3 linked regions of the Elephas maximus indicus genome follow. The protein of the gene in region 2 purifies or fractionates together with the protein of the main gene of each other region. This does not show direct contact. Links are inferred from orthologs where the notes say so. Each region holds a gene or a part of one and is shown on either strand. Other genes may lie near its edges. The genes, in order: AP2B1, MEX3C and MYCBP2.

Region 1 (10,742 bases), on a different chromosome or scaffold from region 2:
CTCTACTCTGTCCTACCATAGGGTCACTATGAGTCGAAATCGAATTGACGACGGTGGATTTGTTTTTTTGGCTTTACTTCCCTAATAAACCCCATAAGTATTCGAGTATCGTCTGCGAGTTCTGTGTGGCTGTGGCAATGAGTTACTGAACCCGCAGGGAAGTAGAGAGTGCCTAGGGAAGGGACAGGTGGTGTCAGAATAGATAAAAAGGTTGGAGGGAGGAGGTCTGCCTCAGAGGAATCAGCCTTGGGCTGCTGATACTGATAGAGATTCTCTCCTCCCCCTGTTCAGTTAGAGATCAGACTCCGCCCCCATGCCATTCTTACATACATACGTGCAAACAGAAAAACCAGCATACAGAAATGATTGCTAATGCCTCAAAGAGGCCCACGGCTAAAGTCCATCATGGTCTACCCAGGATGTTACTATGCTACTCTAAATCCTGTAAGAGCATCAAAACTCAGAAGATTTAAAAACAAAATCTGCTTGGAAATTTTCACCCAGTTTTGAAAGTGGGCACAAAAAGTGTTCTGTTGTTTAAAGCTCTCATATACATACATACATACATTAAATTCTCAACAGGAATTTTCACCACAATCTGTTAAACTTTTAACTAACCTAGTCTCAGTCCAGTCTTTATGAGCAGCCCACACATATCACAATCTCTCTTAAGAAATTTCATTGTCAAGGAATATACTTATTTCCTGTTCACTGTGATTAAGTGTTCTTAACTAGAGAACAACGTACCCACACACAAAACTTCAAGAGAGAGGGTCAAATATTCCCCATTGTTGTTGTTGTTAAATGCCATTTAATTTCAACTCATAGTGACCCCAGGTGACAGAGCAGAACTGCCCCATGAGGTTTTCTTGCTACAATCTTTTGGGAAGCAGATTGCCAAGTCTTTTTCCTGTGGAACCCTTGGGTGGGGTTAGAACCGTTAACTTGCTGGTTAGCAGGCAAACACACTTAACCACTGCGCTGCTAGGGCTCCTTAGTATCCCTGCATACTTATACATAGATCATAAGAATTCCTGCTCTAAAGAGAGAGGAGCATACCACTCTTAGCGCACACTGTTTTAAACTATTGTAATGAAATATCCCTTTATTCACATTTGCAGAAAATCATTGTACCATGTCAGTTCCTGCCTTAAGCCAAAAGGAATTCCAAGAAAAACGAAGACGGTCCAAACAAAAACAAATGAGATGGTGGTTGCACAACACTGTGAATGCCACTGAACTATTGACCTTAAACTAGTTAATTTCATGTTATGCAAATTTCACCTCAATAAAAAAATATATAATTTAAAAAAAAAAGGTGGTGGTTGGGGGGACATTTAACCACACCCCAGAGATGGTCACAGCCAGATTCTCCAAAATACAGGCTGGTGAAAACTGATGTCTGCATTAAGCCACAAAAAAAGTAACCAAGATGGAGCCCATTAAAAAAAAAAAAAAATCAAGGATGTATTGAAGAGCAAAAAAATCAAGCTCCTAGTGGCGTCTGGGGTCTTAAACTCTAGCAAGCAGCCGTCTAAGTTGCATCAGTTGGTCTAAACCCACCTGGAACAAAGGAGAATGAAGAACACCAAAGACACAATGGAGTTATGAGCCCAAAAAGAGAGAAAGGGCCACATAAACCAGAGGCTACATCAGCCTGAGACCAGAAGAACTAGATGGTGCCAGGCTATAACCAATGACTGCTCTGACAGAGAACCCCTGAGGGAGCAGGAGAGCAGTGGGATGCAGACCCCAAATTCTTGTAAAAAGACCAGACTTAATGGTCTGACTGAGACTAGAAGGACCCGGTGGTCATGGTCCCCAGACCTTCTGTGAGCCCAAGACAGGAACCGTTCCCAAAGCCAACTCTTCAGACAGGGATTGGGCTGGACAATAGGATAGAAAATGATACTGGTGAAGAGTGAGTTTCTTGGATCAAGTAGACACAAAGGACTATGTTGGCATCTCCTGTCTGGAGGGGAGATGGAAAGGTGGAGGGGGTCAGAAGCTAGCCGAATGGACATGAAAAGAGTGGAGGGAATGAGTGTGCTGTCTCATCAGGGGGAGAGCAATTAGGAATATAGAGCAAGGTGTGTATAAATTTTTGTATGAGAGGCTAACCTGATTTGTAAACTTTCACTTAAAGCACTATAAAAATTAAAAAAAAAAAAATCAAGCTCCTCCTGGGGTTCTTTCAGGAGAGCCCCAGGAATAAGCAAAGCCACCCTGGAGCTCCAACTCACACTACTTTCCTAACTGACCAATCTGACACTTGACTATTCCCAGGGCTCCCGGTATGGCCTAGGGGTACTGTTAAACAACAAAGCTGCCACAGTCAGGGCACACATTCAATCTTACCTGTCCTAGCCCAGAGTGTGATGTCACCACATTTCAGAGAGGGCCTCCCTGCACAGGACTATATATTTAGATTTAACATAACCCAGTTTCTACCAAATATAGGTTGTGAAAAAAACCTCCCCACCTATTTCCCTCCAGTCCTCTAAAAGAAAAAATGAGCAACAAAATAAGATTAATAGCCTCAGTAGAATAAGGCCAGAAAAAAATTAATAGGATCTTAATTTCAAATGGCTCTCTGGGAAATGGTAGTTAAATTAGTGCTGAGGAGGCCACTAAGCTTTTCACAGAAGTTGGGCTTTACAGTTTAGTGCTCCATAGGGAAAAACTGGCTAAAGAGTTAACCAAATTACAAAGCAGAAAGGTCATTCCTGCAACCTTTTATTACAAAGGTGAGAGGTGCTAAGTTCATTTCTAATCAAATACTAATAATGCAAAGATGGTAGCATCTTCAGGTATCATATAAAAAAGATAGCTCCTAAAAATCACAACAGACATTGAAAAGCCAAAATTGTTTGTGATTCCTATTCAAATGTGACAGAACACGAATTAGTTAATATTATACAGTAAGAAATGAGCCCAAAAGTTTTATATCCATCCACTTCTTAACTGAAATACCAATACACTCTGGAAAACTTAAGTCTGGAGTGAAAGAAGAAAGGAGACTAGGTCCTACCCAATTCATTCCGTGTTCAGGCCTGGTTCAAATCTGTGCCTAAAATGTGATATTGCAAAAATATACACCTATTTAAGAAAATAAAAAAAAAGATGGAAGAACTGGGCTTACATGAATCTCTTAATTCACAGTCAGAATGTTAGCTTTATATTAATTTTACCACCTAACTTTCAGTGAGGCTGTTTGCAGAACACACTATCCTTTCTGCTTCCTTGGGAGTTTCAACTGTTAAGACACCTACAAACAGTACTCACCTTACCACCACATTTAGTCATCACTGGAATGTGTTACACGTTTTCTTACACAGCTGCATCTCCTTCACCTACTGCTTTCTATTATTACTTTGTAAGTGTACCCCGAGGCTAAGCAATTGCAGAACACAAGATAATAATTTAAATTTAGACCACCTTCTTTCTCAGTCATTCTGCCTTTTTTGAACTTGCTACGTCTTTTTTTTTTTTAAATCATAACATTTATGGTAACAGTATTCTGCATTTAAAAAATTTTTTTTAAAGTCAAAATTTAATGAAGCATCCGCACGGAACCAGGTGAGTTCAACAAAAGCCTGCTCCAAGATATAAGATTACCCTGTAAACAAATAACCAAAAAACCCACTGCTGTAAACAAATAGCATGCATAAATTCTTTGGATTCAAAGAATGTGGAAATAACAGGAAGTTCTAGTTTCTTCACTACTACCTTAACCTACCAACATTCCTAAACCAGATCATTCCTGCTAAGCCCAGAAAGGAAAAAGAAAAAAAACCCAAAACCATGCTGCTGTAAGATTAACCCCCACTTGCTTCCTCCTCTCTCACAGCTGGTCAAACTGCTGGAGGTTTCTTTTTCTTCCTCCCAAGCGTAAGGAATTCCTCTTCTTTCCCCAGGTGGTTAAGACTCTAGGGATAGGTTCCTCCATTGCAAGGCGGGGAGAAGTGTCTTACTCTCAAAAAAATCCTGGAGGGGAGGCGAAAAAGTCGGGCCTTACCGACAAGCAAAGCTTTGGGGGAATCCTCCTCCTTGGGGCTCAGTGGACACGTCTCAGCCTCTCCGGGAAGGACGCCAGGCGGGGAAGAAGGAAGGTTCTCCCCTCGGCCTCCCGTCTCCAACGGCCACACCCCTGGCCTTCGGCCCTCCTAACTCCCGGACTAGCCATCAAGGCAGCTACAGAACGTACGTCGCCACGGCACCCCGCATCTGCCAGCGGCCACGCCCGCCAATTCCCTCACCTCACCAAGCCAGCGCGGAGGAGTCTCTTTCGCCAACCCTCTTCCTCACAACGGTCACACACGACGGCTCCCTCGCCCTCAACAATCAAACAATCAAGTTTCTAGGATTTCGACCCTTCCGTCTCCGACCCGGGCAGGGGTTTTCCTCCCTCCCTTTAATGAGGGACACGCCCCAAAGTCGGCCAGCTCGAACTCACCGGAGGCAAGGGCGGGGGAGGCGGCAGCAGCCAGAGAGCGCGGCCTCGGTGGTGGTGTAATGGTTTCTTGCCCGTCACGATTCCTTCTGCAGGTCTAAGCCACTGCGCAAAACCCACTTTGCCAGGGACAAAGATGGGGGACAGGAAACGTGACGTAAGAGGACCTAGTCGCGAGACGTCATCGGCGTGCGCCGGAGAATCAGAAAGGCTGTGACCTCTGTCGTCTTGGCGACAGAATGATTTGCTTGGTCTAGAAGAGGTCTTGAGACCTGGGACCCGGAGGCTGTTTAGTGGCTATCTGAAGGGATATATTGAACAAACTGACATTCTCTGGATTTATTTCCTCGCACAGGAGTTCTCTGAAAAGTTTACATATAGAGCAGGTGAAATATCATGTTCCTTTCTGAAAACAAAACAAAATCAGCAAATTCACGTGTTGGGTCCAGCCAAGGATTATACACAGGCAGTGGGACGAGAGGAGAGCGATGCAAGAAGAGATTGAGTCGCCATTAGACATGAGTTCGAATTCCAGCCCTGAGGATGACTGGGAAAGTTACTTAACTTCACCGCAGTCTTAATTTTCTTTTCTCTGGGTTGTAAACCTTAAATGAGATAAAGTAGGTAAAGCGCCTATCATGTAATACATGTGCTTTTCACAAAAGTAAGTTCCCTTTCACCTTTTCAGAAACAAAGGCCTAGATTCCAGGATCCAGAACTAGAGAACAAGGTTAATCAGAGTAAGTAATAGGGATGGGTGTGGGAGTGGATCCTTTTTCCCTCACATTTTTACCTATTAAATTTGTGAGAGTGGAAAAGTATATGTTGTTGTTAGGTGCCCTGGAGTTGATTTCGACTCATAACAACCCCTTGTACAACGGGAGGAAACACTGTCCGGTCCTGTGCCATCCTCACAATCATTGCTGTTTGAGCCCATTGTTGCAGCCACTGTGTCAATCCATCCCCTTGTGGGTCTTCCTCTTTTTTGCTGACTCTCTACCTTACCAAGCATGATGTCCTTCTCCAGGGGTTGGTTCCTCCAGATAACATGTCCAAAGTATGTACGACGAAGTTTTGCTATCCTGTCTTCTAAGGAGCACTCAGACTGTAGTTCTTCCAAGACAGACTTGTTTGTTCTTCTGGCAGTCCATGGTATATTAAATACTCTTCATCAACACCAAATTCAAAGGCATCAATTCTTCTGTCTTCTATACTCACTGTCTAGCTTCCACATGCATATGAGGCAATTGAAAATACCCTGGTGTGGGTCAGGCACACCGTAGTCCTCACAGTGACATCTTTGCTTTTTAACACCTTAAAGATGTCTTTTGCAGCAGATTTGCCCAATACACTATGTCTTTGATTTCTTGACTGCTGCTTTCATGGGCGTGGATTGTGGATCTCAGTAAAATGAAATCCTTGACAGGTGAAGTATTTTCTCCATTTATCATGCTGTTGCTAGTTGGTTCAGTCGTGAGGATTTTACAGTCCAGAAAATCCTATGAGCAATTCTACTCTGTCACAGGGTCGCTATAAGTCAAAATCAACTCTGTGGTACCTAACAATGACAACAATCTTTATGGGAGCAGATCCTCAGGTCTTTCTCCAGCTGAGCAGCTGAGTGGGTTCAAACCACCTACCTATTGGTTGGCAGCCAAACACTTAACTGTTACGCTACCTGAAAAGTGTGTAAGCATCTTAAAATTTCATTCTTAAGTAATCAGAAGTATCTAAAAGGTTTGTAAAACATAGTCGTATATTATTATTGCCCTTATTATTGAAATAGGTGAAAATTGGAAACCTAATTTTAACACAAGAGGGAACATAAACATTTATGATAAATCAAATAGCTGCATAATGTTGTAGAATATTTTATGTCACAAGAAAATTCACGATCATGTCAAGAGAAAAAAAAACAAGATACCAAATAATATATACAGTGTGATTGCATATGTATTTTTTAAAAAGGCTAAAAATATTCAGCAGAATGTTGAGTGGTTATTGCTGGATGGTTAGAATTTTAATTTTCTTCCTAATTTTAGAAGCATTCTACGCTGAACATGTATTTATTTCTATGATTGGAAAATACTTTTTAAAATCATATTTTTGAAGACTATATAATGGAGTCCCCTGAGTAGCTCAAATGGTTAAGTGTTTTACTACTAACTAGATATTGGTGGTTTGAATCCACCCAGAGGCACCTCAGAAGGACTGGCGATCTGCTCCAAAAAGGTCACAGCCTTGAAAACCCAATGGATTCAAGCTCTGCTCTGCAACACATGGGGTCACCATGAGGCAAAATTGACTCAGTGGTAACTGGTTTGGTTGTATTTAATGACAAGGGAAAATACTTTGAGATGATGTTAAGGAAAACATATGGCTGAATGTAACCAAAACCTGGAAGACAGTTAAGGTACCAGCCTGGATGAAAGTTCTGAGCAACTAATAGTCTTTTGTTATCAGGAGGGATCAGTCCCTAGGGAAGGACATCATGCTTGGTAAAGTAGAGGGTCAGTGAAAATGAGGAGGACCCTCAAGGAGATGGAATGACATAGTGGCTACAACAGTGGACGCAAACATAGCAACAACTGTGAGGATGGCACAGGACCAGGCAGTGTTTCTCTGTGTTGTACATAGGGTGCTGAGTCAGAATTAACTCACTGGCACGGAACAACCACCACCATGTCATATGTATACATATATGTGTGTGTATATATATATAGGAGAAACCCTGGTGGCATAGTGGTTAAGTGCTACGGCTCCTAACCAAAGGGTCGGCAGTTCGAATCCGCCAGGCGCTCCTTGGAAACTCTATGGGGCAGTTCCACTCCGTCCTATAGGGTCGCTATGAGTCGGAATCGACGGCACTGCGTTGGAGATTATATATACGTATATATGAGCCCTGGTGGCGAAGTGCTTAAGCACTCAGCTTCTAACCAAAAGGCAGTTGGAACCCATCAGCTGCTCTGCGTAGAAAGACGCAGCAGTCTGCTTCCATAAAGATTTACAGCCTTGGAAATCCTATGTGACAGTTCTATCCTGTCCTATAGGGTTACTATGAGTCCCAATCGATTGACCCGCAATGGGTTAATCTTTTTAATTGGCAGCAATAGAGCTAAAGGCTTCTATTTTCTGCTACTCAAAACCAAACCCACTGCGGTTAACTTGATTCCAACTTATAGCGACCATATAGGGAAAAGTAGTTCTATTTTGTCCTATATGGTCTCTATAAGGAAACCCTGGTGGCGTAGTGGTTAAGTGCTACAGCTGCTAACCAAAGGGTTGGCAGTTCGAATCCACCAGGCGCTCCTTGGAAACTCTATGGGGCAATTCTTCTATGGGGTAGTTCTACTCTGACCTATAGTGTCGCCGAGTCGGAAGACTCAACGGCACTGGGTTTGGTTTTTGGTTGCTCTCTATAAGGGTTTCCAAGGTTGTAAATCTTTAAGGAAACACTTTTTCCCGCGTAGGGACTGATGGATTCGAACCGCCGACCCAGCGCTTTCCCCGCTGCGCCACCAGGCCTCCTTATCTCTTGCTGGGTCACTTCGAATCCTTTCCAGAAAGCGGTCAAATAAAATTAACGATCACCAATTCCTGCCTTGGGCACACGAGAAAACCCTCCCATCTCCCGATTTCTTTGTCCCTCGGCCTCTAGCACCATCGATCCTGGGAACACAGGACTCAGTACCCAGCCCAAATTATGTCCGGGGGCGTCAGGGCTCGGAGCACCGCAAACACCTCCTCAAAAAAACTTCAAAAAGAGATGATCAGATCTGTGGCTTTCACCTGTATAGACTCAGAAAAAGTAAAACAAACAGAGAATTCGTCGCCAAAACTATCCCATAGGAGACATTTTTAATTTTAGCGGGGGCGGAAGCGGAAGGGTCATAGAGTTCTCTACTTCCGGCTTCGGCGCCGCGTTCCGGACTAGAGCCCCTCTCCTCCTGCCACTTCCCTGAGGCCGCGGAGCCTTCTATTTCCGGTTACCGCTTCTGTCATAAAGCCGAGACCTCCCCGCGAACGTGGCGTTGTGGGTCCTTCGCGCCTCGCCTGTGGTCAGGTAGCAAGGACGGGCGCGGGCGGGGATACTTTACAGCCCAAACTGGACACAGTCTTCGCGTACCGGACCCGTGTTGGCACCCCGATCCCTCAGAGAAGGCTGGCTTTTGAGCCCTCACGATGAAGGGTACCCGACGCGCAGGCTCCGGGACGGCCGCTCGAGAGGACAGCGTTTATCCGCCCATACCTCTCTCCCAGTTAGGCTCTACACTGTGAGGTGCAGCATTTGATAGGTCACCCCCTCCCCAAAGACTGCTTCCACCCATGTCCGCGTTAACTTCGTTCTCAACCTCCTTAATTTGAAAGATCCCTCTCCACGCTTCCAGAAGAGGTCTTTTTCCCCCAGTTAAATATCATCCCCTTAGCCTGTAAAATTGAGTACGGAGTTTCGGATATCTGGCAGAAAAATTATCTTTAAGACGGAGCACCCATTTGATCCAAAAAAGAGGTTCATGCTCACTACAGAGCCTGGGAAAAAGTGAAGCCCAGTAAACACAGGAAACGATGGCTGAGCATGGGGCTCACATCACAACTGCTTCTGTGGTGGATGACCAGCCATCCATCTTTGAGGTGGTAGCACAGGACAGTTTAATGACAGCAGTGAGACCCGCCCTTCAGCATGTGGTCAAGGTAAGGTATTAATTCTCAGAAAGGTTTTAGGGACGACCGAGTAAAAACCAAACTAATAATTTGTTTAGCTGGTAGCCTAGGGTTTGAAATAACCAATTAGCATGTAATTTCTGTCCCATGATGCGTTATTGAGTCTCTGTTCTTGCAGTCCTGTACTGAATCTCTAACATTTCAGGGAGGTGGTAAGGTAGACCCCAAAAGAAGTGACTTGTTTAAGCCCGAACTATGTAGAATTTAAAGAACAAAGGGAATGTAAATACAAGGTATGGTAACTGTGAAATAGAACCAATTTTGTTTATTGTTTTTTTCACTTTAGGTTCTTGCAGAATCAAATCCTGCCCACTATGGCTTCTTTTGGAGGTGGTTTGATGAAATCTTTACTCTGCTAGATCTTCTCCTTCAGCAGCATTACTTGTCTAAAACTAGTGCCTCGTTTTCTGAAAACTTTTATGGCTTAAAGCGGGTTGTAATGGGGGACACACACAAGTTTCAGAGATTGGCCAGCGCAGGTCTCCCAAAGAAGCAGCTTTGGAAATCTATTATGTTCCTGGTTCTTCTTCCCTATCTGAAAGTGAAGCTGGAGAAGCTGGTTTCTAGCCTGAGAGAAGAGGATGAATATTCTATTCATCCCCCTTCTTCCCACCGGAAACGATTTTACCGAGCCTTCCTGGCAGCCTACCCATTTGTCAACATGGCCTGGGAAGGCTGGTTTCTTGTACAGCAACTTCGATACATCCTAGGAAAGGCTCAGCATCACTCACCACTGCTGAGGCTGGCTGGAGTTCGGTTAGGTCGACTGACAGTTCAGGATATACAAGCACTGGAGCACAAACCATTTGAAGCCAGCATGAAGCAACCACCAGCCAGGTGAGGCCTTCACATTTCAAAAATATTCTGATTTCTAAATTTTAAAATCATATCCCAACTTCATGAAATTCACCTCCCTCAGTCCACTTTGAGGTATTTCATAGAATCATACAAAAAATCTTTGTGTTCATAAAACAAGGATTGCAGAACTCCATCATGGTAACCATCCACATTATTCTAGCTTCTTTTTATTGTACACTTGCTACGTGCCAAGCCCTGTGTTGTCTGCTTTACGTACATTATCTCAGCCCTCATTACAACCCAATGAAGTAAATGTATTAGCCCCATTTAGCTGCTGAGGAAAGCCCTAACAGGTAGGTACCTTGCCAAAGCCACCTGTACAATGTGGCAGAGATGAGGTTCAAGCCAGATCAGTAAAATTCTTAAGACAGTGCTCTTAACTATGATGCTGTGCTACTACTAGTTAGTGCTTACGAGAACATATATATATGTTCTCCTACAAGTTCATATATATATATTCAATATTGCCAAGCTTTTAAGAGTTATTTCTCTGATGTACTATCTTCCACAAAAAATGGTCTATGCAATCAATGTCTACTAATTTCTCAAAAAGCAGAACTGTAGTCCTTTGTTATAAAAAAACAAATATTACTAAAAACAAATTGTCATACTCCTAAAATACTCTGAGTCGGAAAGAGGGAATCATTTAAAATAGATCCTTAAGGAGGTAATGCCAACCTAGTAACTATTCAATCTCCAAAGCAGTGAT
Region 2 (10,642 bases):
TACACTGTCCTATAGGGTTGCTATGAGTCGGAATCAACTCAACAGCAATGGGTATGATGTACAATATACTGGCACACTCATGAGGCTAGAGAACACACATATACCATCAAAGAGTAACTAATGAAAATATTTGAAGATGCCCATTGACCTTAAACAGTAACACAAAACCTTAGGTTACCAGTCTTTGTAACAACTGAATTTATGACATTCAGTATTTATTTATTTTGTAGTTAGAAAGGACAGTTATAGGATTCTACTTTAATGCCTTTTTTAAACTGGATTATCAATGACTGTACAAACCGGAATAAAACCCATCGACTTAAGCCTCCTGGTAACACCACTATGAATGCGTCTTGCAGGCAATACATTAAAAAATATAAATGTTTCCAAGTTTACAAAACTAAATCTTAAATCTATTGTCAGGTTTACTTTTGATTTTTACATTGTAAACCAAAAAAACCAAACCCATTGCCATCGAGTCGATTCCGACTCATAGCGACCCTATAGGACAGAGTAGAACTACTACATAGTTTCCAAGGAGCGCCTGGTGGATTCAAACTCCCGACCTTTTGGTTAGCAGCCATAGCACTTAACCACTACACCACCAGGGTTTCCTTACATTGTAAAGCTTCTTTGATTTAAGACTCTTTAGATCTTAGCTTTATTTTATACAGCACTGTTGGCTTCTTTTAAATGAGATGCGAAGTTTAAAAACCAAGCCCAATTCAACACCTACAAATGACCATACGCTACTGGGGAGAATAAATATGAGGTCAAACACTCTGCCGACTTTCATCACCATCAAAAGCACTGTTTCTTTCCTTTTCTTTTTTGAAAGGTACTGGAACCAGAGGCCATCTACATTGAGCTGCTTGTCTATATGACTCAGAATTCCATTTGTCCTACTCCTTCCTTCAGAGCTGAAGTCATAAATGTCTCCATCTGTGACATAATTATTTCCAGAACCAATTAAGAGATGTCATATAGAAAATTATGACTTCGGGTACTGAATAAAATAGCAAGAATGGGTAATTTTTTAAGGATGAAAGTTTAGCTCATTGAAACCAAACAACTAAACTAAATGATTTGCCCTGTTCTAGTCACTTTTTTTTTTTTTTTAGTCACTTAGGGAAAAGGGATAGGTACTCTCCCAGGGGGAAATTACCACACCATGGAGAGGATGCAACAAACATTAGAAGTAGCCTTACTCTCCAAAGGAGGAAATAAAAGACTTCACAGGTTTTATTGTGGTGTTGGCTGTGAGTGGGGGTGGCAAAGGGGTCAATGATCCACTAGTTGAATGGTTCAAAACAGGAAAAGGGCAAGACTTGCTGCTCTTAAGATAAGATAGAGAATGATGACATACTTTTAGCAATAATATGTCAACTCTGGGAAAATATTAAGTGCAAAAGGAATTGTCAGCAATTTGTCTCCATGTCCTAAGACATAAATATATCCACATTTTCTTATTAATAAGCACAGCCCTGAAACAGGAACAACAAAACAAAAAGACCACTAAGACTTCATTTCTTTTGCTATCACTTGATTAAAAAAAAGAAACTAAAATCACTTGATAAAAAAAAAATTTTTTTTTAGATGGTACAAAATAGAAGCCTGGAATTAATCCAGCTTACTTTTTAACTAATGGATTTGTATAAAGATAGCAAGCAGATTGTGGAAAAAGGACAATTTCACAGTGCTTTAAAGGGTATAACACAGCGAAGTAAGTTTCTATTAAACTAAATCCACAATGCATATTATTAATTTGTCCCTTAATATAACTGTCATGTAAATGTTCTTCTTTTGTTATCCTAAACTGTCACCACAAGCTCACTGAAACAAACAAGGAGGTGGCATCCTAGCATGGCATTAAAGGTTCTTCATATCCTGGTCTGCACACCTTCCTGGCCCTTTTTCACACTCCCTTTTACAAATCCTAACCCAGACCCAGTGCTAGATACTAACAAAACTCAACACTACTTGCCAGTCACACTCAAGAGATTATTCCTCCACATCTTTCCTCTCATTGTTCTTCTGGTCTTTCTTCCATCTCCATGTGTTAAAGTCCTATCCATACTCCAAGGCCCTCCAAGGTCGAAGTTCTCATATGTACCACTTTTTCTTTGTCACACACTGTAGTTTGTGACACTAACTAGGTAACAGTTTAGTGCCCTTCCACTGTTTATTAGACTGTTAGCTTTGTAAGGGCAGAAAGTTTGTCTGAATCAACCTCACATACCCAAGTGACACAAAGTCAAACGCTTTGGAACTACCAGCCTGACAGAGCCATTCTTCGACGTTCTCAAATGAATGGCCAACTCATTCTAGACCTACAAATTGAGATGTTATAATTTCATCATGTGTAGGTGAAACAGTTATTATCCTGTTGTTATGAGAGTCGATTCCAACTCATGGTGACCCCATGTGTGCAGAGTAGAGCTGCTCCACAGGATTTACATGGCTGTGATTCTTTAGAGGTAGATCTCCAGGCCTGCCTTCTGAGGTGCCTCTGGGTGGGTTCGATCTGCCAACCTTACAGCTAGTAGTCAAGGCTTAGGCATTTGTGCCACCCAGGGACTCCTTATCCTAAATGATGCAAACAAAACAAAATGGTACAAACAGGAATGTGAAATTGACTTACCACAAACTATAGGAATAAACTCCTTTTTGACTGAATGGCACCATCTTTGAGCTGTGCTTTTAAGTGCCAAATCATCAGGGAGTCTGAAATAAGCTCTTTCTATCCAGATTTCAGATGGGGTTTCCTTATTAAAATCCTAGAGGTAAGAACGGCGCCAACTCTGATATCTGAAACCACCATTTCAACAGAACTCTTATTTATGTGTTTTTTAGACCACTTGGGAAAGATGAGATCATTTAAGCAGCAGCGCCATCATCTATTTGACCCCCACGGACGCTCTCAACCTAACAGTAAAGAGCCGTGCAATAACGTGGCTAAACCATATTGTACATAAGAGGCAGCGGGTAATAATAAAGTAGGAAAACTACATTTAAGATCATAGGCTCTTTCCCCAAAATGTCAGATACAGAGGTACTCCCAGCATCCCCTTCCCCCACCTTCACAAATCTACTCCTGGAATCTGAGACATAGGTCCTTTGTCTGAACAATGTGGGAGGAGTCTGTCTGCAGTATTGGTGTGCTGGCAAGTGAAGAGAATTGACCGAAAACTGTAAAAACGCAAAGTTTCTTAACTCAATTACCTTGCTATCCAATTTTCCTTTACCGCGTACACGAAAGACAGTACAAGACAGCCAGTGTCCCTTTCTGAGACAGAAAATGTATCAAAAGGAATACAGTAAGCTCAGGCGAGTCAGGCTGCTCTTCAAAAGCCAAGTTTCTGAATAGCTGAGGGGAGGCGGCGGGGTGGGGGCTACTGACCCTTCCCTTTCGAATGAGCTTTCTACAAGACTCCATTTCTATCCATTTCTTCATCTGAATAAGCTGGGTAAGGAAAGCTAACAGCTTCTTCCTCAGCTTTTACAAAACTGTCTGCAGCACGAACTTACAATTTCGAGGCTTTTAGTTTACAGCCCCGAATCCACACTCATCTGATGCGACCTTTTACCACGTCGCTGAGGTTTCTGGTGGCACGCCAGTTAGTGTTCCACGAATACAGCCCGAGCAGAGAACCCCACCGGATTAGGTGGCTCAAGAAACTTAACACCTTTTATCAAAAGGAGTGGAACAGCAGGGGTTTCGCAGGGTGACCCATCTTCTGGCCTCTTCGACTCTGGGCTCCTCCCAGACCCCTCGGCAGTGGACTTTGGGGGACTCGTCGTATTCGCCTTTCTTGCCCCGAGCTTGTTTCTCAGGTCTCCCCACCCACGCCCAGGGCCAAGCTCAGTTGGGCTCCCCTCCCCGCACTCACCCTGGCGACCGACAATCTCGGCGACATGCTCGGAGCTGGGCACCGGGACGCACTCGGTGGTGTTGACGCTCTTTCTCCGGAGCAGGGCTGCCTGCTCCCCGTTCAGGGCGGCCGCCGCCGCCCCGCAGCCGCTGGGGCCGTAGGCGTGGGACAGCATCGCCGCCATCATGCCCTGGGCATCGTCCCCTCCGTAGAGTACCCCCGCCGCCGCGGCCGCCGCGGCCGCCTCCCGGGCATCGAAGCCGGCGGCGGGCAGCAGCACCGACCCCAGGGACCCGCCCGGGGTCGGCGGGGTCTGGGAGGAGGCGGCCGCGGGCGGCGACAACAGCAGCAGGGACGGCCGGTCCTCCTCTTCGCCCTCCTCCAGCTCCTCCTCCTCCAGCAAGTCGCCGTCCAGCTCCGCTTCCTCCCCCTCCTCCTCCAGCTCCAGCTCGGCCTCCTCCCCGGCCCCGGGCCCGCCAGGCGGAGCCTGCTCCTCCGGAGGCAGCCCCGCCGCCCGCCGGGCCTGGCCCTGCACCGCCGCCGCCGCGGCCCGGAGCGCCGGAGCGCCGGGCTCCGCCGGGCTGGGCTCCTCGAGGCCTAGCACGGCCAGGCGCTCCCTCAGCAGGAGCCCGTCCCCCTCGAGCTCCGGGCCGCCCGCGGGCGGTGGCAGCGGCGGGGGCGGCGGCGGGGGCGGCTGCGGCTGGGGCTGCGGCAGGGGGGCCGGGGCCGCCGCCAGGGCCAGGGCCGCGGAGCTGCCGCTCGGCATCGCGGCGGCGTGCTGTCAATGGCGGCGGCGGCGGCGGCGGCCGGGTCAGGCGCGGCAGACGGCGAGCCCCATGGCGGACAGGGCCCGGCCCTGCTCAGCGCGCAAACACCTTTCCTCTGGGGAGGCGGCGGGGCCGGCGACCCAGGCTGGGGAGCGCCAGCGCCGCCCGGGTAGCGGAGAGGGCGGGGTGGAGGGGCAGGGGAAGGAGGCCAAGGTAGGTAACTAGGTGGGTGGGTGGGGACGGCAGCGGCTCCCTTCTCAGGCTTTCTTTTGTTTCATGGCCTTAACCAGCCCCCGGCGCGCGCGGCGGCGGCGGCGGCGGCGGCGGCGGCGACGCCCCACGCCGCTCTCCGAATGAAGCCGGCGCGCTCTGATTGGCCGCTTCTACTCTTTGGGAGCCCGCCCTCTTTCCTCGCAGCCGGCTCGCTCCTTTCCCTAGCCCCACCCCCCACCCACTTCTCGGACCCCGCCCCACCCCGTGCCAGAGCTCTCTGATTGGGTGTCCACGACCGGCCGGCCCCTGAAGGCTTCTCCTTCCGCCCTCTCTCCTTTCCCCCTCCCCTCCCTCCCTTCCCTTTACGGGCTCCCGAGAACAGGGACTGTGATTGTTCGGTTTACAAGTCACTCTTTGTGACGTTACCCCCCCCGCTGGGGGCGGGGAAAAGGGACGAAGGCGCTGTAGCGGAGGAGACTGAAACTATGGGCCGGGCAGGGCCCTCGCGCAGGCGCCTGGAACATAAGCCCACACCTAGGCTAATTCCTTCTACCCGTCCCCGTTGCCCACCTGGGTCGGGTTTTTTAGGGCACTGTGCGAGCGGCCTTTTGAGTCGGAATCGACTCGACGGCAGTGGGTTTTTTTTGGGTGCGATTGGCCTAGGAATGGAACCGTGGGCATAGGCCAGGAGGGCGTTGTCTACCCGAGATACCCTCTATTCGGGTTAGGGCCTTAGGGGAGTCATCGAAGGAGGGGCCGGTGGAGTGTCCACCTTTCCAGTAGCCAAGGTGATTTCCTGAGCGGCGTGGCTCCTGGGCCTTCCCTGCAACGACCCAGGCAGCTCCTCCCCGGGGCAGGATCCTCCCACGCTCAGCTGGCCGGGTTTTCCCTGCGGAACTGGTTGGTTCTATCAGGAGCCTTCAAGTGCTTTGGGTTTTGGGGGCTTTGATAGGAACTCAGTTGTTTCCTAGCTGCGACGCTCTTCCCACAGTATGGCCCAAGTGATCTTACACTCTTCTAGAGACTTACTTTTAAATGGCTGGTTAAAGAAGAACAGAGCCTGCTACTACTTTTCTCCATTTAAGGCTATGTCACACCCATTAGCTCCTTTTAGTGCCAGGTAGTGTCCCCTGGAGGAGCCCTGGTGGCGCAGTGGTTAAGCGCTTGACTGCTAACCAAAATGTGGAAGTTGCAACCCACCAGCCGCTCTGTGGGAGAAGGATGTGGCAGTCTGTTTCAGTAAAGATTTACAGCCTTGGAAACCCAATGGGGCAGTTCTACCCTGACCTATAGGGTGGATATGACTTGGAATTGACCCTATGAAAAGGTTTTAGTCTCCCCTGATTAGTCTTAACCACAGGTAGTTGTCCTGTAGAGATATAATGTGAGCAACAATCCAATTTTTAACTTTCTATTGACCACATTTGGGAAACTTGGTGGCGTTGTGGTTAAGAGCTACAGCTGCTAACTAAAAGGTCACCAGTTCGAATCCACCAGGCACTCCTTGGAAACCGTATGGGGCAGCTCTACTCTTTCCTATAGTTTTGCTGTGAGTCGGCATCTACTCCAGGGCACTGCGTTTCGTTTTTGGTGTAGTGATGCTGTTGGAGCCCTGGTGGCTCAGTGGTTAAAAGCTCAGTGGCTAACCAAATGGTCAGGGAATGGAAACCACCAGCCTCTCCTTATAAACCTTATGGGGCAATTCTACTCTGTCTTACAGGGTCGCTATGAGTCGGAATCTACTCGATTGCAGGGGGTTTGGTTTTCGCTTGGAGTGACCCCATTAAAAAAAGTAAAAAGAAACAAAGTTTTAATAAATATATCAAAAATATTCACATTTCAATATGTAATCAATATAAAATTATTAATGATATGTTTTACTTTTTTAATACTGAGTCTTAGAAATCTTGCGTGTATTTTACACTAACCAAACCAAAACACCAAACCTGTTGCTGTCAAGTTGATTCCAACTCTTAGTCTGCCCTATAGGACAAAGTAGAATTGCCCCACAGGGTTTCCAAGGAGTGCTTGGTGGATTCCAAGTGCCAGTCTTTCGGTTAGCAGCCTAACTCAACCATTACGCCAGCAGGGTTTCCTTTAAATTTACAGCATATCTGAATTCAGTTTGCTCTAGACTAGCACACTTCAAGTGCTCACTACAAAACTGAAAACCAAACTCGTTGCCATGGAGTTGATTCTGACTCATACAGCTACTAACAACTCTAAACCTGTTGCTGTGGAATCTATTCCTGCTCATAGCGACCCTGTAAGAGAGAGAAGAACTGCTCCATAGGTTTCCAAGAGTGTATATCTCTATGCAAGCAGACTGCCACATCTTTCTTGCGGAGAGGAGCTGGTGAGTTCAAACCCCTGACCTTTTGGTTAGCAGCGCAGGGCTTAACCACTGCACCACAAGGGCTCCTTCTAGCAGCTCTAGACCGCCTGATTTTTGACTTATAACTTGGGGTCCTTTGTATATTGATTTTTTAAATTTACTGTATCTTGTCCTAAACTGGTTTCTTAAGAGTTAACCTTAATTCAACACCTACTTTTCTAAATTATCTAGGATGCTACAAAGACAATAGTCTAAATTGTGCCCATCTGGCCACTTGCACAATCCGGCTTCAATCTACCCTGCCCCTCCAAAAGGATAGAGAATTTTAGCTAACAGTATGAGTTGATTCCGACTCATAGTGACCCTACAGGACAGAGTAGGACTGCCCAACAAAGTTTCCAAGGAGCTCCTGGTGGATTCAAACTGCCAGCCTTTTGGTTAGCAGCCATAGGACTTAATCACTAGGCCACCAGGGTTTCCACTGATCAAGCAAGCTTGGCTGCTAACTGAAAGATTGGAGGTTTGTGTCCATCTTGAGGCACCTCAGAAGAAAGGCCTAGTGATGTACTTCTAAAAATTGACAACCTCATACAGCACAGTTCTACTCTGACATACATGAGGTTACGATGAATTGGAATTGACTTCACAGCAATGGTATTTTGCTACCCCTTTTCTGTTACCAGGTGTCTTAGTCATCTAGTGCTGCCATAACAGAAATACCACAAGTGGATGGCTTTAACCAAGAGAAATTTATTTTCTCACAGTCTAGTAGGTTATAAGTCGAAATTTGGGGCCTTGGCTCCAGGGGAAGGTTTTCTCTCTCTTTCGGCTCTGGAGGAAGTTCCTTGTCCTGTCTTCCTCTGGTCAAGGATCTTCTCAGGCGCAGAGACCCTATGTCCAAAGGACGCGCTCTGCTCCTGGTGCTGCTTTCTTGGTGGTATGAGGTGCCCAACTCTCTGCTTGCTTCCCTTTCCTTTTTATCTCTTGAGAGATAAAAGATGGTGCAGGCCGCACCCCAGGGAAACTCCCTTTACATTGGATCAGGGAGGTGACCTGGGTAAGGGTGGTGTTACAATCCCACCCTAATCCTTTTAAACATAAAATTACAATCACAAAATGGAGGACAGCCACAGAATACTGGGAATCCTGGCCCAACCAAATTGTTACACACATTTTTAGGGGGACATAATTCAATCCATGACACCAGGAAACCCTGGTGGCTTAGTGGTTAAGTGGTATGGCTGCTAACCAAAAGGTTGACAGCTTGAATCCACCAGGTGCTCCTTGGGAACTCTGTAGGGCAGTTCTACTCTGTCCTGTAAGGTCTCTGAGTTGAAATTGACTTGACAGCAATGGGTTTTCCTGTTACCAAGGAGCTCTGGTGATGCAGTGGTTAAGCGCTTAGCTGCTAACTTCGAGGTTGACATGCTGTGGGAGAAAGACATGGCAGTCTGCTTCCACAAAGATTATAGCCTTGGAAACCCTTTGGGGCAGTTCTACCCTGTCCTATAGGCTCGCTATGAGTTGGAATCGACTGGACTGCAATGATCTTTTTTTTTTTTTTCTGTTTATTCCAAGTTTCACTAGCCCTCATAAAACCCATAATGTTACTTCCCTGATAACTCATATTTGTAGCAATAAATTTTAGGGCAGCGATTCTCAGCCTTGGCTGTACCTCAAAATCAAGAAGAGATGTTATAAAAAGATAAGTGCAGAGTCAGGGAGAGGAAAACCCTCGAGATTTGGATTTAGTAGATCCTAGGTGGGACCTGGGACGTGCTTTTTAAAAGCCACTCAGGCTGTTCTGAAACTCATTCAGGTTTGAGAACATTGATCTAGAATTCCAGATTTGGGATTATGGAGGGAATCTTGCCAGTAACTCTACCAAAAAGTGATCCTTTCCTCCCTGCTACCTTCCCAATTAGGCACAATTTTCACTGATTTACTACATCTACACCCATTTTGTGATATGCTCCAATGATATTTCATGGTGCCTTAATAAAGCTACTGGATCTTTTTTTAACATACCAGTCAATAGCTTGTGTAACCAGACATTTACTTATAGAGTATACAAAAATGCTTGCTGTCTGATATTTCAGTTTAATAATGGTTATTTGAAGGCTAGAACTTCTAGTAAAGCAAACCTGATCAAGGAAGAAGCCAAATGAAATATGCAGTGACCACTTCCAAGATGTGTTGGTCATTTGGAGAAAACACATAGAATTACAAGTGAAATACTTAGAAGTCCTCTAGACCTCTTTTCATAAGTTGTCATTTAATGGTCGGTCACCCCTTGGTCTTAAGTTCTCTTCCCGAGGACCCAAAGCAAAAGTTATAATAGGCTGATAGTTCTGCCACACAGTTTTCTCTTGAGAGCGGGAGATGTGAATAGATTCATCCATAAAGTAAACAATAGCATACTAGAGGAATGTGCTCCTTAGAGCAAACAATTATATGAGACCAAAAGGGCAACATTTGCCTAAAAGCAAACGTAAGAAGCAGGAAGGGGGTAGAAAACCAGGACAAAAGTACATGGGGAAACTAGGATGGAGAGCTAACACATTGTGGGGAATGAAAGCAATGTCATGAACACTTTATGTATAAACTATCGAATGGGAAACTAATTTGCTCTTTAAACTTTTGCCTAATACACAATAAAAAATTAAAAAAAAATCTATAGGGACCAAATGGCAACATTTACCCTAAAGCAAAGATGAGACAGTTACAGGGGGTATGGCAGGGGGAGGAATAGGGAAACTAGATTAATGGAAACGGAAAAAATAGGAATAATGAGAATGTTGATACAATGTGGAAAATGTAACCAAATGTCACTGAACAATATGTATAGAAATTGTTAAATGGGAACCTAATTTGCTGTGCAGTCACCAAAAAGAATAATATATTTTAAAAAGGGAATAGATTCATGTAGATAAGATCCAGAAAGATAAGATCTATTCAGCTAAGATAAAAAAAAAGCTAATGGTTTAATTTAGATGTCCATAATATAAAAATTGCTTTCTGCTTCATTTTCACATAATAAATGAGGTTTTGTTGCCAGAATTGAATAAGGTTCTTGCCTCTCACTGGTCAAGAATGAGCCGGTAAGGCACGAAGAGTTTTCCACATGAGCAAACCTTTATTGAAGAGGTTTGCAAGCGGAGACGAGGAGGGCCTAAGCAACACATACCCCTGTCTCCCAGAACAAAAGACTTGCCTGGGTTTTTAAAAGTTCCGGGGCAGGAGAAGATGCATGTTTATTCATAGGCATAGGTGGGAAAAGCAAAGATGTCACCTTGAAGACTAACGTGTGCCTGACCCAAGGCATGGTATTTTCAATTGCATCATATGCATGTGAAAGCTGGACAATGAATAAGGAAGACCTAAGAAGAATTGACACCTTTGAATTGTGGTGTTGACGAAGAATATTGAACATACCACGGACTGCCAAAATAATG
Region 3 (10,406 bases), on a different chromosome or scaffold from region 2:
ACTCAAACTCATGGCAACCCAATATGTGTCAGAGTAGAACTGTGCTCCATAGGGTTTAGAAGTAAATCACTAGGCCTTCCTCCCCAGACACCTCTTCATGGACTAGAACCAGCAACCTTTCAGTTAGCAACTGAGCATGTTAACCATTTGTACACCCTGGGATTTCTAGCACAAAGTAGGCACTTGACATTTAAAGAACGAATGCCAAAAATTGTGCTAAACGTTGAGATTACCAAAATGAACAGGATATGGTTACTATCCTCTAGGAGCTCCCAGACTTTTTATTTACAAATATCTCCTCCGCTTCTCAGACTCAGAACAAGGGATGTTACTGCTGATGTCAGATGGATCTTGGTTGAATGCAGAGAACACCAGAAAGATGTTTACCTGTTTTATTGACTATGCAAAGGCATTCAACTTTGTAGATCATAACAAATTATGGATTACATTGCGAAGATGGGAATTCCAGAACACTTAATTGTGCTCATGTGGAACCTATACATAGACCAAGAGGCAGTTGTTCAAACAGAACGGGGGATACTACATGGTTTAAAATCAGGAAGATGTGCATCAAGGTCGTATCTTTTCACCATACTTAGTCAATCTGTATGCTGAGCAAATAATCAGAGAAACTGGACTACATGAAGAAAAATGAGGCATCAGGATTGGAGGAAGACTCATTAACAACTTGTGATATGCAGATGACACTACCTTGCTAGCAGAAAGTCAAAAGGATTTGAAGCACTTACCAATGAAGATCAAAGACTACGGGCTTCAGTATGGATTACAACTCAACATAAAGAAAATAAAAACTCTCACAACTGGACCAAGAAGTAACATCATGATAAACAGAGAAAACACTGAAGTTGTCAAGGATTTGATTTTACTTGGATCCACAATCAATGCCCATGGAAGCAGCAGGCAAGAACCCAAATGACATACTGAATTGGGCAAATCTGTTGCAAAAGGCCACTTTAGAGTGTTAAAAATCAAAGATGTCACTTTGAGGACTAAGAGAAGCCTGACCAAAGCCATGATATTTTCAATCACCTCATGTACACGTGAAAGCTGGACAATGAATAACGAAGATGGAAGAAGAATTGATGCCTTTGAATTATGATGCTGGCAAAGAATACTGAATAAACCATGGACTGCCAGAAGAAAAAACTTGTCTTAGAAGTACTGCCAGAATGCTTCTTAGACATGAGGATGGCGAGACTTCAGCTCATGTACTTTGGACATGTTATCAGGAAGGACCACTCCCTGGAGAAGCACATCATATTTGTAAGGTAGAGGGTCACTGAAAAAGAGGAACACCCTCAAGGAGATGGACTGACATAGTGGGTCATCAATGGGCTCAAACATAGCAACGACTGTGAGGATGATGCAGGATTGGGCACCGTTTCGTTCTGTTGTACACAGGGTGGCTGTGAGTTGAAACCGACTTGACAGCACCTAACAGCAATACAACAACTTCCTTCTATATTAAAGGAAGACAAGTCTGTAACTTCTTTCAGTGGCTACTCTCTCCACCTGTGGTCTTAAAACTGTCCTTGAGATCTCCCTTTGACATCTCCCCATCAATTATCCCTTTCTCTCCTATCTTTGTGGAAACCCTGGTGGCATAGTGGTTAAGTGCTACAGCTGCGAACCAAAGGGTCAGCAGTTTGAATCTGCCAGGCGCTCCTTGGAAACTCTATGGGGCAGTTCTACTCTGTCCTAGAGGGTCACTATGAGTCGGAATCAACTCGACGGCACTGGGTTTGGTTTTTGGTTTCTCATATCTTTAATCACTCCGTCTCAACTACTGAATGCTCCCCACCGTCCCTGCATACTCAAATATCCTTGCGTTTTCAACACCTCCCATTCACTGCTTACCACATTCCTCTACTATGACCATTTCTTCAAAAGTTATCAATGACCTGGAAATTGTTCTCACTTTATTCAGCATTTAACACTTTTGTGGACTTTGCAATCTACTTTCTTAAGACCAAAGACACTACTGCCCCCACCCAGTTCTCTTCCTAATTTCCCTCTCAGCTTACTTCACTGTCTCCTTCTCTCAAGACCTTTACACTTGATGCTCACCAGGGCTTCATCCTCTAGTCTTGCTCCATTCTCGATCTCTGAATGATCACATCCTGTCCTGTAACTTCGACCAGTGCCTCTACACATGGGATTATTTTATATCTATTCATTCAGAGCCTAAATCCCAGCTCCACTTTCTCCATCACCCCTAATAAGAAACGTGATTGAATTCTTAATCAAATTCTCAATAAAGAGAAGTTACAAGCTAAGACATAGAAAAAAATAATGTTAACTATAATAAGCAACAATGTTCTGAGAAAGCAATATTACATAACTTAAGGCTGGTTTTCATGAGTTTTTCTTGAACTAATTTTTCATTTTAATTGACAGCTGGTAAAAAAAACAGATCAAAGACTAGAACCTCATTTACAAATCTTATGTACATGGTTAACTTTTACTAATTGTATCTCATACTGTTAATACAGCTATACATAAATAGAAATTTTATTATTCTATGAGTAGCAGAAAGTCTGAAGGAGCTCTGGTGGTGCAGTGGTTAAGTGCTCAGCTGCTAACCAAAAGGTTAATGGTTGGAACCCATCAGCTGCTCAGCGGGGAAAAGATGTGGCAGTCTGTTTCCATAAAGACTGACAGCCTTGGAAACACTGAGGGGCAATTCTACTCTGTCCTGTGGGGTCACAATGAGCTGGAATCAACTCAACAGCAATGGGTTTAGTTAAAAAGTCAAAACAGTAATATACCAGTCACAAATTACTGCATAAGTCTGGAACAACATCTAAAAGGAACCTGAGTTCTTTCTGAGAGGTTTGTAAAGATGTGCCTACAGCGCCATAATTTAGAGACTCACAGATCTAAATTACACCTAATTATTGGAGCAAACTGTCTGATGAGGTTTTGCGCTATTTTCAAAGGCATTAGAAAAAAAAAACAGACCTGTGCCTTTTTGCCCATCCTTTTAGATAGTAAAGGGTAGTTATGCATATTTATAGCCATATGATACAATAACTCATGTGTCCCTCGTAAACAATTACAGAAATGAGAAGAATGATTGATTTACCTAGACAAAATGTGACCAAAGCTCCGTCTTTACAATTCTCCCCAATGGCTAAGCAGACTGATAAACTACAAACAGCTGACTTACAGCCTCACCCCTTTCACAGTGGGAGGAAAAAACATGTGGTTATTGACTAACAAACTACACATTCAATAAATACAGTGAACTCTTTAATTCATTTGACAAAATCCTACTATTCTCCCGTGTTTTGCAAGAAGCTGTGGGAAAAAAGATGAAACCAACTCCCAATTACCACTGTCAAACCCAAGCTGGTGAAACAAGTCAGTCACCTTCCTTCAGGGTATGTGGCATGTAAGGACACGGAAAAGAAAACAATAGGAGAGTTCTTAGCAAAAAGGCACCCACATTTTAAGAAAAAGAAAATGAAAGTGACGTTTCCCACATCAAGGAAGCTGAAGATGCAGTGAGCCTAACTGAAAAAGACTAAGAGCTACTCATATTTTTTAGTTGATGACAGTTAAACACTCTACCAGCTGTCATATTTTAAAATTCTTCCATTCAGCTTTCTCTTTTCCACTACACAACCCCTCTACTCCAAAGCCCTTAAGTAACAGGAAATTGAACAGAAGACGAAGGGAAATGGCGATGGGGCATCAGAACACAAGAGCAGCGGCGACCAGATCATCTCTAGAACACCAAAAGGCCCAATTATCTAAGAACTGCTCCAAAAATCTCTATCAGACACCTTTCACGTCCACACAACTCACCATATGCATCCCTTACTTAAAACGAAACCTCATGCCTATCTGACAGCTTGATTCTAAGAACTCATCCTATAAATATGACATTATCCTTAACCTAAACTATTGCTCCCTTAGAAAAAGACAGATTTTTTTTTTTTTAAAGCGGTGGAAAGGGGGGAGATGGAATGTCACTGGGGGAGAGGGAAGAGGGGTTGAGGTGGTGAAAGATACTTGCAAATACCATTGCGGCAGAGACAGTGGAAACGGCACTTCCCTCACTACTCTAGCAAATTCTCCTCGTGTATTACCCTCTTATCTTCTACCCATCTTTCCTCCTTCCTCAACAACACACATGCACACACACGTGTCATCGCACCATTACCTTTTCCAGCCTCTCAAGCTAAGCTCCCGCCCTCACACCAACACACTTAGAGCAGAAGCCGCTGCCACCGCACCCTCCTATCTCAATAAGTGCCTGCACCATCCAGCACTGAGCACTTCATGAAAGACTGCTCAGTAAATACGTACGTACACACACACACACATACACACACGCGAGCGCACACGCGGCATGTGGCATAAGGAAGGGCACCCCAGAGACGCACCTGGAGGCCGGGTGTCCAGCGCTGCCGCCCCCCTGGTCTCTGTCACTGAGCGCAGCTGTGTAAATCCTCCGGTAGCGGTCAGCCAGGGCCCGGCCTGACAGCAGCAGCTGGTAGTGACCCCGGGAGTCCGCGGAGGGCAGCCCCAACCCCAGCCCCGTGGCTGCCACGGAGCCCTCGGAAACCGGCATGAACGGCGCCGGGGAGGAAGAGATGGTGGCGGCTGGGAAGAATCCGTCCCCGCCGGGCCCCGAGGAGGCGGCGGCGGGGGAGCCAGTTGCTGAGCACATCATCATCCTCGCCGCCGCCGCCTTGTCCCCGCGGGCCGGGCAGGCAGACACGCGCGCGCACACACAACCCTTTTCCAACGACGACGACTCCGGCGGCGGCCTCTCCCTCCCGCAGCAGGGAGACTACAAAGACAGCGACCTCCTCCTCCTCCTCCTCCTTCTCCTCCTCCCCCCCGCGCCGCCCTCGCCGCTACTGGGGCCGCTCATCTAACCCCGCCGCCCGGGGCGTGTGAGAAGGAGGCGGTGCCGCCGCTGCCGCCGCCGCCACCGCTGCCACCGCCGGGGCTACCCGCAATGGGAAGCTGCTGGCCGTACTGAGCATGCGCCACTCCTCGCACATGCTCAGTCATTGGAACCCCTTTTCCTCTCCACCCGCCTCTCAGCTACCACTCCCTCCGCCTCCGGGCTTTGGGCGTGAGGTGGTTGGGTCGTGCAGAATCTGAAGGAAATCCGCTTCTCCGGGCTTTGGTAGCAACCTGAGGGAGAGTAAAGAAAGTGCTGGAGGAGCTGTCAGCTACAGGCGTTGTTGGACTTCAGGTAATGGGGTTCCTTCCAGGTGGGAAAATTTAGGACCAGAAAGAGGGAATGTGCCTATCGCCGGAGAATGAGTATTACGCACTCCTTGTACCTTCCCTCAAAGTCTGTGCTGCCAACGTGAAGATTTGCTGTGAAGAGTGCTGGTTGGATCAGAATTCAAGGCCGTCTGAATGAGAAGTCCCTTTGGCGATTTTATTTTGAATGTATTGTGATTAGAATTTAAATCTGTTTAAATTAGACTTCACTTACACAGACAGGTGGTGATCTAGTGTTCTTTTTTTCTGAGGGAAGTAGAATACACAGTTATGCAAGTATTCTAAAACCGGCTTCATTCCTAAAGTCTTGTTCTTAATATTTACATCAGAGATAAATCGTAATGCAATAATATTGTTCTTAAATAGTCTTGTTAACTCCTCACTCATTCTAGGGGTTCACCCTTATCTTTTGGCAGTGGTCACTTAATGGCTTAGATTTTTCTGCCCAGGCTTACATTATTATAGACAGATGATTCTTAATATGACCTGAAACTATAATTATGACTAAGACTGTATAATATCTGAGGAGGTCAGATTTACAAAGACCTTATCGTTGTTAAGTGTACAAAAGTGTAACATTCTCAGAGTCCCTGTTCCAAAGCAATATTCTGTTAGCCCTTTCTTAAAAAAAAAAAAAATCTTAGAAATATATGCACAAATGCACCATGATTCCTAAGTTTTGTCCCTTTGGCTCTCCGTATAAAGAGTTTACATAATTTATACTCCTGAAAAATCATTTCTAAGTACTATCATTCTAAGTACTATATCCATCATTTACTTCGTTGTTAACTGCTGTCCAGTCAGCTCCGACTCATGGTGACCTTATAAACAACAGAACATGTTGCCTGCTCCTGTGTCATTCTGACAATCACTAGTATGTTCCAGTACATAGTTGTGGCTGTTGTGCCAACCCATCTCACTGAAGGTCTCTCTTGTCCTCACCAGCTCTCTACTTTACCAAAGACGATGTCCTCTTTCCTAGCAATCCATCCCTCCTGGTGAAATGTCCAAAGCAAGCAAGTGGGACAATGTTCTGTTGTGATCCATGGGTTTTCACTGGCTGACTTTTGGAAGTAGATCACTAGCCCTTTCTTCCTAGTCTGTCTTAGTCTGGAAGTTCAGCTGAAACCCGTCCACCATGGGTGACCCTGATGGCATATGAAACACCAACGGCATAGCTTCCAGCATCATAGCAACATACAGGCCACCATAGTACAACACTGACAGATGGGTGGTGGTCATCTACTTACTAGTTCTTATATCAGTGTCTCTTCTTTTAATAGCCTTCATTTTAAAAAAAAAAAAAAAAGTCCTTTTCAGTGTTTTGAGAAGAACAAACAAAAAGTAGGGAAGTAAATTAATTCAAGCTTTTGGGAGGAGGGATGCTAAAAGGAATGCACTGATCTGGGGCTTTGAATGGTAGATGAGTATCATTGTGAAAAAAGGTAAAGACGGGATGATTAACGAATAGGGACAAATGCATAGACATGAGGAATCACAGTATTTTAGTATTGTGGGTTGCTCTATTAAAGAGGTTTTGTATTTGTCTTGTTTCTTCAATGATCTTCTAAGTTCCTTCAGAGCTTCTTGTTTTTTTCTTCATCAGGCCCTAGAATACAACCTTGCCAATAGTAGGTATCCAGTAAGTATTTGTTAGGCTAAATCACTGGGCTGATGCTTCAGCACAGTTACAAACCTAAGTGTTGAACAGGAAGCACCCCCAACCCTGTGGTGAGAGCCAAGACACTGGGGGAAAGACAGCTAAATTCTAGGAGTGGAGTTAAAGACCTGGCAGCTAGATGCTACAAGGGTGTATTACTGTTGCAAGAGCCAGCAAAGTACTGAAAAGGCTCTGAAATCAGACAGACATGGCTTTGGATCCTGACTCTGCCCCTTAACACTTGTATGTCTTTGGGCAAGATTTTCTCTATATTGTTCTGACTTGCTGTCCATATGTTACAGAGTAGAACTGCTCCATAGGATTTTCTTGGCTGTAATCTTAATGACAGCAGATTGCCAGGCCTATCTTCCATGGTACTGCTGGGTAGGTTCCAACCGCCAACTGTTTGCGCCACCTAAGGACCTCCTGTATGTAATGGTCAAAATAATACTTGCTGTTATTGCATGAGATTGTGGGAAGACTTAAAGCATACAGGCCTGCGCACCTTGGCAGATGGCTTTCCACAAATGGTGGCACTTACAAAGAACAAAACAAACAAATATACACACACAAAACTTGTCCACAAGAGCCATAATTGTGTTTGTTCACCCATTACATTCCCAGTGCCTAGCACAGGGTCTAGGCGTAAGTAAGAGGGAAATAGATATCGGTTGGATGAATGAATGAATGTTGCTTGCACAGAAGCATTTCCAGGGTAGGCTCAGGTGATAGCACGTGCTATCAGTGCCAGTTTAGAGTGGAGAATGACCCGTGCTCCTGCACTGGGCTCCTGGTTCCTCCCACCCCTTCCTAAATTTTGCTTCTGTTCTTTCTATACCGGTCAGTCCTAGACAGGCCCCTTCCTGAGCCTTGTGGATACAATCAAAACCCGGTAACTGGATAATTTCCCTAGAAACCTGACGTCGCTGGGTGGTGCAACTAGGCGTGCGCAGAGTCGTACACATGCTCACTTAGGTATCCGAGGGTGGCGTTTCTGTTGCGGTTGGCAGCGTTTCCTTCCACGGCAGCGGCAGCGGCAGCGGTCGCTCTTTTCTAGATTGATAGCCGTTGCAGCGTTTTTTCTCCTCGTTCTCCTCCTCTTCCTGCCTCCGCACTGTGCGATCCCCCACCGCTGCAACTGCTTACAGTTACTGCTGTGGCAGCTGGGCACCTTGGAAAGCTGCCCTGGGATGGCAGGGAATGGGGGAACACGTCAGGAATAAAGGACATTTGGAGTCATACTTTATTCCATTGTCAAGGGGATTCGAAGGGGAGGGTGAACCCCAAGGCAGGTCTCGGGAGTCTCCAGGACAGTCGTTATAGACTAAGAGATGTGGGTTTCTCGCAATCGGCAAAGCAAGCGTCCCCTCCCGCCACTCCTGAGCGCACTACTACTGAATGGCTTACGCTGCCCAAATGTTTGGAGTAGAATAGGGGGGTGAGAATTCTGGATATTCAAGGAACTATGCAGAATGAAAGAATACCAAGGGCTTTGCTTTTATTTTTCCAGCCCAGCTGAGCGCAGCTCTCTACTTTTTCCGTGCTGCCATCTTAGCTTTATCTTCTGGCCAAGCTGGGCGTGTGTGTGCATTTATCTTAGGAGGGCGGGTTGGGGTAGTGGGGTGGAGGGCCGGGGAGGGTGTCGGAGTAGGCTAGACAGGAGTTCATGCCACATTCGCCCTCAAATAATAGCATTGAGCTAAGGCAAGTCCTGAATTTGTCCGTTTTATTAATAAAACATGTGCATAGTATTTTTCAGTCTTTGTGGTTGATACCATGCTCATGTCTCAAAAGAATCTTTTCTGCGATTATAAGATTATGGCTTCATCTTTCACCCTGTGAGCACAGATTTTGTCGTTTTTCCTTCGACATTGCGTACCTGGCACTACAATTTTCTGACCTTTTTCCACATTTATATTTTTCTACTCTGTGTAGTTTAAAAAAATCAGAAGCCACCAACACTGATGGAGTAAATAACATGGCAGAACCCACAATGTGTAGGTAAGAGGACAGAGCCATGTTGTTAGTTTCATTTAAATGGTTAATATTGTAATAATGCTACAGGATTGCAAACTCAGAAAATGCCGTGGTCAAGTCAAGAGTACATTTGTGCAGTAACCTATTGGAGCATTTAAAAACAAAATTGGTAGCTGAAAGCATTTTAAAAGAAGCATGGTAGTTGAGAGCCATTTGAAAGAAATATATATATGCTCAGGTTTGAAGAGAGAGGATATGTCTCACTCTTCAGTGACCTTGGCTTTTTAAGGGCCACAAGATACTGCAATGTTAACTAATATGATGATATTGCACTTTAAAATGAAATATGCTTCATATATTTAATACTCCAGAGTAAAAAGAAAAATTCAACTTAGCACTTGAAATTCTTTTTGAAATGAAAATTGCACTTTAACCCCCTCCCCCAAGATCTCGACCTCTTGCTTTAAACAACTGTGTGTTATATATTTATAGGACCTGAGAATGAGCCTAGAAACTCGGGTGGTGTAGTGGCTAATAGCTACAGCTGCTAGCCAAAAGGTAGGTGGTTTGAATCCATCAGGAGCTCCTTGGAAACCATACAGGATTGGTTTGGTTTGGCTAGAATGAGCCCTGGTGGGACAGTGGTTAAAAGAGCTTGACTGCTAACCTAAAGGTCGGCAGTTCAAACCCACCAGCTACTCCTTGGAAACCTACCTGGGCAGTTCTGCCCTGTCATACAGGGTCATTATGAGCTGGAATAGACTTGATGGCAAAGGGATTTTTGTTGTTGTTGTTAGAATATACAACGATTTCTAAGCATAAAAGGTTAATGCTTTCTCCTTCTTACTCATATTAGCTTAAAAAGATACAAGATATCATACCCAAATTTTCCTACAAATAGAAATTTAGGTCATGGGGGCCTATGTTAAATATGAATATTTTCATCCCCAAAATATTGTTCTAGAATATTTACTGGTAAGTATATGTTTTTGGAGAGTGCAAAGTCAGTGATATATATTTTAATGCAAATCACGACATTTTTTAAAATCATTTTTATGATGCATTTAGGCAAGTGGGTGATTTTACAAACTGATAAAGTCATATAAAGTGTAACTCTTCTAAGGAGTGAAATTTTAAGAACACATTGCTTTAACCCTGAAAATGTCATTGTAGTTCGTAAAGTATTGTTGTTGTTGTTAGTTGCTGTCCAGTTGGCACTCAGGATAACCTTATGTATACCAGAGGGAAAAGTTGCATGGTCCTGTGCCATCTCCATGATCTTTGGTATATTTGAGCCTATTGTCTCTACTACTATGTCAATCCATCTCATTGAGGGTTTTCTTCCTTTTTGCTGACCCTCTACTTTACCAAGCATGATATCCTTTTCTAGCGATTGGTCTTTCCTGATAACGTGTCCAAAGCAAGCAAGATGAAGTCTCAGGAGCCTTGCTTCTAAGGAGTAGTATTAACTACTAAGATTAAATAGGTTAAATCACAT

What was found.
Region 1: the proteins of MEX3C (region 2) and AP2B1 purify together in Homo sapiens (affinity purification with mass spectrometry; 4 studies listed by BioGRID and IntAct, with this or other methods). This does not show direct contact. The link is inferred for Elephas maximus indicus from reciprocal best matches to the Homo sapiens genes MEX3C and AP2B1.
Region 3: the proteins of MEX3C (region 2) and MYCBP2 purify together in Homo sapiens (affinity purification with mass spectrometry; 3 studies listed by BioGRID and IntAct, with this or other methods). This does not show direct contact. The link is inferred for Elephas maximus indicus from reciprocal best matches to the Homo sapiens genes MEX3C and MYCBP2.

What each region holds. Positions count from the first base shown.
Region 1 is NC_064837.1:30,137,801-30,148,542, reverse strand, and holds the start of AP2B1 (AP-2 complex subunit beta), read right to left. Parts: upstream 4,599-10,742; 5' UTR 4,457-4,598; intron 4,441-4,456; exon of another isoform or gene 4,260-4,440; intron 4,242-4,259; exon of another isoform or gene 4,019-4,241; intron 1-4,018. Other genes in the region: PEX12 (peroxisome assembly protein 12), read left to right, coding at 9,020-9,145, 9,462-10,012. UniProt on the Homo sapiens protein: Component of the adaptor protein complex 2 (AP-2). Adaptor protein complexes function in protein transport via transport vesicles in different membrane traffic pathways.
Region 2 is NC_064829.1:59,727,366-59,738,007, forward strand, and holds the start of MEX3C (RNA-binding E3 ubiquitin-protein ligase MEX3C), read right to left. Parts: upstream 4,948-10,642; 5' UTR 4,639-4,947; coding exon 3,891-4,638; intron 1-3,890. UniProt on the Homo sapiens protein: E3 ubiquitin ligase responsible for the post-transcriptional regulation of common HLA-A allotypes. Binds to the 3' UTR of HLA-A2 mRNA, and regulates its levels by promoting mRNA decay.
Region 3 is NC_064832.1:70,486,516-70,496,921, forward strand, and holds the start of MYCBP2 (E3 ubiquitin-protein ligase MYCBP2), read right to left. Parts: upstream 5,000-10,406; 5' UTR 4,706-4,999; coding exon 4,413-4,705; intron 1-4,412. UniProt on the Homo sapiens protein: Atypical E3 ubiquitin-protein ligase which specifically mediates ubiquitination of threonine and serine residues on target proteins, instead of ubiquitinating lysine residues.